Linked DNA regions of Ovis aries. The protein of the gene in region 1 purifies or fractionates together with the protein of each later gene. This does not show direct contact. Links are inferred from orthologs where the notes say so. Each region holds a gene or a part of one and is shown on either strand. Other genes may lie near its edges.

What was found.
Region 2: the proteins of RELB (region 1) and NFKBIE purify together in Homo sapiens (affinity purification with mass spectrometry; 3 studies listed by BioGRID and IntAct, counting the BioPlex papers as one, with this or other methods). This does not show direct contact. The link is inferred for Ovis aries from reciprocal best matches to the Homo sapiens genes RELB and NFKBIE.

Annotation. Positions count from the first base shown.
Region 1 is NC_056067.1:52,498,116-52,501,921, forward strand, and holds part of RELB (transcription factor RelB), read left to right. Parts: intron 1-3,285; coding exon 3,286-3,443; intron 3,444-3,806.
Region 2 is NC_056073.1:17,751,014-17,755,599, reverse strand, and holds the start of NFKBIE (NF-kappa-B inhibitor epsilon), read left to right. Parts: upstream 1-1,683; 5' UTR 1,684-1,891; coding exon 1,892-2,259; intron 2,260-4,586. UniProt on the Homo sapiens protein: Sequesters NF-kappa-B transcription factor complexes in the cytoplasm, thereby inhibiting their activity. Sequestered complexes include NFKB1-RELA (p50-p65) and NFKB1-REL (p50-c-Rel) complexes.

The DNA.
Region 1 (3,806 bases):
TTTTGTTGGCATTAGCTTTACATGTCGGAGAAGGCAATGGCACCCCACTCCAGTACTCTTGCCTGGAAAATCCCATGGCTGGAGGAGCCTGGTAGGCTGCAGTCCAAGGGGTCGCTAAGAGTCGGACACGACTGAGCAACTTTACTTTCACTTTTCACTTTCATGCATTGGAGAAGGAAATGGCAACCCACTCCAGTGTTCTTGCCTGGAGAATCCCAGGGACAGGGGAGACTGGTGGGCTGCCGTCTATGGGGGCGCACAGAGTCGGACACGACTGAAGCGGCTCAGCAGCAGCAGCAGCAGCAGCTTTACGTGTTCACTTTCCCTGGTGGCTCAGCTAGTAAAGAATCTGCCTGCAATGCAGGAGAGCTGCGTTCGATCCCTGGGTTGGGAAGATCCCCTGGAGAAGGGAAAGGCTACCCACTCTAGTATTCTGGTCTGGAGAATTCTGTGGACTGTAGAGTCCGTGGGGTCACAAAGAGTTGGACACGACTGAGCAACTTTCACCGTTCACTTTACATGTTCAGATCACACTTTTTAGAGGTTCTCTGACCGGCAGGGCCCTTCGAGTGACCCAGGAAAACCAAGTAGGTCTGGGCCCCACCTCAAGGGGCTGGTATCTGTCTGCTGCCCCATGTAGCTGCAGAGTAGAATTCCAGCCCCAGTTGTCATAACTTCCTTTTTAAAAAGGAGAACCTGGAAATCTAGAAGAGCATGATGTCTCATACCTTTTAAATGTAGGCTCCAAATTTTCCCCAACTTCCGTTTGTTTTTTTTTGGCCGTGTTACACATTGGTCGGGACCTTAGTTCCCTGACCAGGGATCAAACCTGTGCCCTCTGCAGTGAAAGTGCAGTCTTAAACACTGAATATCAGGGAAGTCCCTTCCCCAACTTAAAAAAAAAATTATTTTATTGAATTATAGTTGATTTACAATATCGTGTTAATTTCTGCTGTATATCAGTGGTTTAGTTATATATACATAGGTATATATTTATACATATATTCTTTTCATTATGGTTTAGCACAGGATATTGAATATAGTTCCCTGTGCTATCCAGTAGGACCCTGTTGTTTATCCATCCTACATATACTCATTTGCATCTACTAATCCCAAATTCTCAGTCCTTCCCTCCCCTACCCCACCCCAACTTTTTATTTTGAAAAAAAATCTTTTAAATCTTTCTTCTAGATTTCTTGTTTGTTTCTTTCTTTGCAGTATAACTGATATAAAAAAATACACACTTAATGTACACATTTTGATGAATTTAGGATGAGAACAATTGCCATCTTCAGAAAAATTAAAAAAACAGTACAACAAGCACCTGTGTACCCTTCACCTGTATTCACCAGTAGACCTCAATTTTACCTCAATTTGCTATATCTGACCTCTTTCCATGCACACAAACATACATACAGATGCGTAGTGCTCACACACACACAGATATGCATGTTGCTTTTTTTGCAGACCTATTTGCAGATGAGTTGTAAATATCATGTTATTTCACCTGTAGATACTTCAGGGGGCATCTTCTGAAAAATAAGCTCCTGCATGGCTGCGACACTCATTACTATGCCTAGAAAAAAATCAATAATATCACATAATATCATCTAATATACAGTCCATGCTGGAATTTCCAAATTGTTCCCCCCAATTTTTTTTTTTTTTAAGATCTATTGCTTGATTGATTTTTGGCCGTGCTGGGTCTTTGGTCTGCACGGGCTTTCTCTATTTGCAGTGAATGGGGGCTTCTCTTCATTGTGGTGTGGGGGCTCCTCCCTTTGGCAGCTTCGTTTGTAGTGGAGCACTGGTTCTAGGCTTGGGGGCTTCAGCAGCTGTGATGCACCAGCTCAGTAGCTGCAGCCCACTGGCTCTAGAGCACTGGCTCAGTGGTTGTGGTGCTTAGTTGCTCCGGGCTTAGTTCCTCCAGGCATGTAGGATCTTCCTGGACCCGGGGACCCATGTCCCCTGCATTGGCAGGTGCATTCTTAACCGCAGGGAAGTCCCTCAAAATGTGTTTTATAATGATTTCTCCCTCCTCAATCTAGGGTCCTATGTTGCTTTTGGTTGTGTCTCTGGAGTCTCTCGCCTCTATTTTTTTGGAAATTGAGTTGTATTTGATCAAATATTGTGTGTAGCTCTAAGGATTTTGACCGATGTATACATTATTTAACTACCAGCCGATCAAAATACTTTTTTTTTTCTTTTTGTTCAAATATGACACCTATCTTTTTTTTTTTTTTTTTTGCTGCTCTGGGTTTTAGTTGTGGTGTGTGGGATTTAGTTCCCCAACCAGGGATCAAACCCAAGCCCACTGTGTTAGCACAGAGTCTTAGCCACTGGACCACCAGGGAAGTCCTCACTCATCTTTTTATTATCTTTCATGACACAGATATGTCTGAATGGATGACCTGCAGTTAGGGCTTGTTTGACATTTCCTCATGATTGGGTTCTGGGGTTGCACTTGTGGAGGGGCTGTCATAGAAGAGAGCCTTCTTTACGGTCCAGCTCTCACATCCATACATGACTACTGGAAACATATCTTTGACTAGATGGACCTTTGTCGGCAAAGTGATGTCTTTGCTTTTTAACACACTGTCTAGGTTCGTCATAGCTTTCCTCCCAAAGAGCAAGCATCTTTTAATTTCGAGGCTACAGTCACCATCCGCAGTGATTTTGGAGTCTAAGAAAATAAAAATCTGTCACTGTTTCCAACTTTTTCCCCTTCTATTTGCCATGAAGTGATAGAACTGGGTGCCATGATCTTAGTTTTTGGAGTGTTGAGTTTTAAACCAGCTTTTTCACTCTCCTCTTTCACCCTCATTAAGAGGCTCTTTAGTTCCTCTTCACTTTCTGACATTAGAGTGGTACCATCTGTGTGTCTGAGGTTGTTGATGTTTCTCCTGGCAACCTTGATTCCAGCTTGTGATTCATCCCAGCAGAGGATGCCTGTGCTCCATTGCCCCCGTATTGGTGATGCTGACCTTGCTGACCTGGTTAAGGTGGTGTCTACCAGGTCTCCCCACTATTAGCTTGCTCTCTGCCGACCACACTTGGAGACCTTGTGTGCATCCATTTTTTTTAAGTCGAGCGGCCAAAGACAGTGCATCCGTGGGTCAGCTCTCATGTTATGAGGTCCCCAGGTTGGAAGCTTTGGGTTTAGGATCTAAAAGAGGTCTTCCACCGACACACTTCCATCGTTGAGGGGGAGACGAGGTACCAGAGGAGGCTTGGATGGGTGCAGGTGTCTGCGATGGGACCCCAAAAGCACCCGTCTTCCTGCAGCTCCGGGACTGTGGAGGGCTGCGGGAGGTGGAGGTGACCGCCTGCCTGGTGTGGAAGGACTGGCCTCACCGAGTCCATCCCCACAGCCTCGTGGGGAAAGACTGCACAGACGGCGTCTGCAGGGTGCGGCTCCGGCCTCATGTCAGCCCTCGGCACAGGTACCTGACTTGACCCCTTGTGCTTGGTCATGGAGATTTTGAGGGGCTGAGGATCACCTGAGAAAACCTTAGGGCTGGGGCAGCTTAACCAGACCCTCCCCACTGCATTGCCTAGATGGGGAAACCAAGATGTGGGAACAGCGGAGGGTCTCGTTTAGGCCTGGAACCCTGCTGCCTGCACCTCCACATGCGCTATGTTTATCCCCATTTTGTAGGTGAGAAAACTGAGGCTCAGGAAGGTGAAGGGGCCCAGAGAGCCAGTGGCAGAGCCGGGGTTTGACTCCAGACCTGACTTAACTGCAAGGCCCATTCTTTCTTTCACTTTATAATTTATATGTTTTCAATTTAAAAAAGCAAAAGGTT
Region 2 (4,586 bases), on another chromosome or scaffold:
GGCAAGTCAACTCACCTTTCTGGGCCTCAGCTTCCCAGCTTTAAAATGGAGATTATTTTGAAGTGGTTAAGGTCTGTATTTTTGCTCCAGCCTTTGAGATTGGGAGAGGAACAGGTTGGGGGAGGAAGTTGAGGATGTCTTAAGTCACAATGACCCCAAGGGAAGGAGATGCCTCATTTTCCTTGGGCTTTCCCCTCATGGCTCCTCACCCTCTCAGGCTCAAGATATCCTCCCCACTCCAGCCTTCAGGGGGGGATGGAGACCAGTGGGTCACCTCCTCCCAACTGTCCTCCCCTCTCCTTTCTCCCTCCACTCACCCCCTTCCCAGAAACTAGGTACTTCTTCCCAGCCCTCTTCCCTTCTCATTTCCAGTTCAAATGGAACCTCCTCTACCGCTCACCCCATTGGGTAGTTGGCCCCATGTTGTGCCCCTCCAGCGTCCTGTTCTCACGCCTATCTTAGCCCAATCACTCTGAGTTGTAACTGCTAGGGGGTTTTGAAGGCTGGAACCATGGGACAGTTTTTTTTATGTTTGTTTGTTTGGGGGGGGATGGTAGTTGTTGGTTATTACTGTTACTGTGAGCCTCCGTTTTGCTTCCAACAGAGAGAACAATGTCAGGCATATAGAAGAAGCTCCTTACATGTCTATCAAATGGATGAATAAAATGAGGTTTCATGGGGAGGGTGGGAGGGAAACTGGTTAGTAGCTGCGTGTTCACACCCTAGCTTCCTTCCTTCAAAGCCAGAGTTGGGAAAGGGAGATGTTTTCTTGGGGGGGATTTTTCTAAGAGCATTTCTGGAACTTGGGGTAGGGGATAAATCTTGGGCAGCTGATTTGGGGCTCACCACGTGGGTGGGATTTGCCTACAGCCTCCTGAGGCTAGGCCCAGGGAAAATAGGGATGGGGAAAGGGGAAAGATGTGCTGGTATTAGGGCTGAGGCTGCCAAGGGGACCTCAGCAGAGTGCTGCCCAGAATGTCTGGGGCCTCCCCATCCTGGCCCCACCATGAGGAACTACACTTCCCCAACCAGATGCTGTTACTGTCTGAGACCAGTATTTTATCCCTGTGAGGAATGACCACTCTGCTTTTTTAGACCACAGGCTTTTCAACAGAAAAACCACTTGCGAAGAGCACATCCTCATGTCCAATTCTATGTGATCTGAAAAACTGGCACAGGAGACTCTGTCTCCAGAACCCAAAGGGAGAACTCCTTTAAAGACATGGGTGTCCCCTTTGGCTCCGGGAAAAGCAACAGAAATTGAGAGTAGTGGGCCGGGGACAGGTAGCAACGCTTCCCCGTCCCACCTCCCACGTGCCCTCCCCAGAAGACGCCCAGCTTGTGCAGACGATTAACATATATTCCTCTTAAACGAAAGAATAAATGAATGGGAAAATGAATGAAGAAAACAGAGGAAGTGAAGGAAGGAAAGAAAGAATGCAGGGAATTCATACATGGAATGAAGGGAGGGGGAAAGAGTGAATGAATGGACGGTTGGATGAATGAATGAACGGGTGAGTTAACGCAAGAGTGAGTCAGGACCGGGGAACCCCTGACTCCGAGCCAAAGCAGAGGGCGGGGTAAGGGGGATTCCGAAGGGCGGGGCGTCCGTCCGGAAGCGCGGCGCCTGCCGGGGGCGGGGCCTGAGGGCGGGGCGAGCGAGCGCGTCTGACTGCGCTGCCCAGTTGCCCCGAGTAGCGGCTGCCGCGGACCCCGCCGGCGCTCGGAACCTCGTCCACGCTTCTCGCCGAGCCGCTCAGCCCAACCCGCAGCCCGGAAAGGAGGCCATTTCGGGTCCAGCACCCGCTCTGTGAGGCGGACCTGCAACCCGGAAAGGCGGCGAGGAGTCGGATCCTCCTGGGACCGGGCCCGGCGGGCCGGCGCCGCGGGGATGTCGGAGGCGCGGAAGGGGCAGGACGACACCGATGAGAGCCAGTATGACTCGGGCATCGAGTCTCTGCGCTCCCTGCGCTCCCTGCCCGAGTCCACCCCGCGCCCAGCCTCGGGGCCCTCAGAGGGCGGGGGCCCCCAGCCCTGGACTCATCCTCCGGGAACCGCCAAGGAGCCAGAGGACAAGGAAGACACGGACGGGGAGCGGGCTGACTCCACCTACGGCTCCTCATCGCTCACCGAGCCCCTGTCCTTGTCGGGGGACCCCAGGACCGAGGGCGCAGTTCCAGACTCCCCGCTCCGCGCCGCCGGGGCGCTGAGCCCTCAGCAGCTGGAAGCACTCACGTACATTTCCGAGGACGGAGACACGTGAGTATGGGGGCTAGGCTAAGAGAGGACCCCTTCCTCCGCCCCGATGCTAACTCGGGGCCTTCTCCAAGAGCCGTAACAGGCCGGGCATTCCCTATGTGGGGATCCCTAAAGGCACCAGCTCTGGAAGGGGCGGTCCCCACTCTCTCTTTCAAACTGAACTCTCAACCCACTTTTGAGCTGTATCCAGACCCAGTCCAGAGGACCTGGCATCGTCTGTCTGCCCCACCTTTTGGCAGGGCCCTCACCAGCACCTGGAACCCCAGCTAGCATCTTGGAAATCTACCAGTAACCCATCCTGGGGAAGAGAAAATTCCCCTGACCAGCCCAGTTTTGTTTTGTTTTGTTTTTCTCGCTGGAGGACAGAGCATCCTTGTTTGCTTAATATCTGGGATTCCCGGCCTCTGACCTCAGAATGCCCTGTCTCAAAGAACAAGAGGGGCCAGTGACAGGCTGCCGGTGGGCCCAGGAAGCTGGGGTCTGAGGTGCTGCCAGGGGTGCATGGCTGAGGCTGGCCTGTGGAGTCAGTGAGCCAGGCTGGGGCACTCTTGCCCCAGCAGACAGATAGGCGGCTGGCTACCCCAGCTAACTTCCTCCTCTGTTGAGAAAGGGGAAGTGAGGGCTAGAGTCAGCCTTACCGACACTCTCCACCTCCTGAGCCCTGCAAATCCCCCTCACTGTCATATGTGACCCCTTCACTTCATCCTTCCTCCCCAGGCCCAGGTGGAGCTTGGTGGAGACTGGGCTGGGGCGGGGCCGGGGGGAGGGGTGGTCAGAGAGGCAGTTGTGTGGTAGGGGCTGGCCAGGTGAGGATTCACCCCTCAGGAAGAAAAGATGGATGAGAGAGGGGGTGGCTGGGATTTGGGGATGGGAAACAGAGTGGAGGGGGGCTGGGGTCCTGGATCTGGGCTGCTGGAATGAATGGGGAGGAGGAAGCAGGAGCTGTCTGTCTTGATCTGCTTTTTTGGAGATGCAAAGGTCCTGGGTGGCCTCTGACAGAGACAGACTCTGGACCCACTGGGTGACCCTAGGCCTTTTTGTCCTCTGTACCTAGAGATCACCAGCCCTCAGGCCTACAACCAAGATTGTGCAGGCCCTGTGCAGAGTACCTGTGGTTGACCTTTGACCCAGGGAGTGGAGGCTTCTGCCCTGCCCCCCTTGCTTAGCCTCTCAGCCCCAGCTTTAATCGCCTCTAGTTAGAGACAGGTGTGGAATCTAGACCCGGTGGGGGCGGGAGGGAGGTGTCAAGACCCCCCAGAGGGTTCCCTGAGAGGAGAGGGCGCTTTCTTCCCTCCGGAGGTGTCTGGGCTGTGGACATGTGGAAATGGGAAGAGGAAGTGGGAGGAGGGAGACTGAGGGAGAGAGGGAGGTGGCTGCAGGAATGTGACCAGAGAGCAGGCCCTGGCCGAGGGGATTTCCAGCGCGGTTCCTCCCTCCCTCCCTCCGTCACTCTCTCCTGGGCCTCGCCAGCCACCAAAGCCTGCCCCCCCTGCCCCAAGCAGCCCCCTCCCCAACCCAGACGGGCCTTTCAGCCAGGCTTCCCCCTGACGAATGCCCCAGCAGCTGCCTGCCCCGGCCTAGACCCTCTGGCTCTGGCTTTCATTTTCCCCACCTGACGTGGGGAAACCCCAGGGCTGGAACTTCCCCTCCTGTCCGCCCCAGGTTAAGGCTCTTTATCCCCCACCCCAGGCACACATTTTCTGCACTGCACAGTCCTCCCCGCAGAGGCACACACAGGAGCGGGGGCCCAGCTCAGGCTCCGTCCCAGCCCTGCAGAATGGCCTCTGGCTGTCCCGTGGAGAGCAGCAGGACAGAGCGCTGCCCTGTCTCCTTGCTCCTTTTCCAAGAGCTTCTGTCTCCTCTCTTTTGGGAGGTGTTCATGAGGGGACAGAGGGTGACCCCACCCCTGCCCTCTCTGCCCTCCCCATGAAGGGGGCAGAGGTGGGGAGCCCAGCCCTGGAAACCACCTCTGTGCTACCCCAGCGGCTTTCAGTTTGGCTTTGAGCTGCAGCTGCCTGGTGGGGGCCCCAGGGGGCCAGAGGGGAGCGGGGTGTGGGCAGGGTGGACAGGAAGGACCTTGTCCCGTCAGCACCCTGCCCACATTCTCACTCAGCCAAGGCCCTCCCAAAGGCCAGAGATGGGAACTTGGAGCTTCCACCCTCAGGATCCTGGCTTCCCGCAGCAACCCTCACTTCCTGGCCCAAACTCTCACTTCCTGCACCTACCCTCTGGGTGGCAACTTAGACACTGATGTGTTCTTCTAACCCCAGAACCCCAGCCCACTCTGTCTGGCCTGAGCCCTGACCCCAAACCTTGCCTGTGCCTCC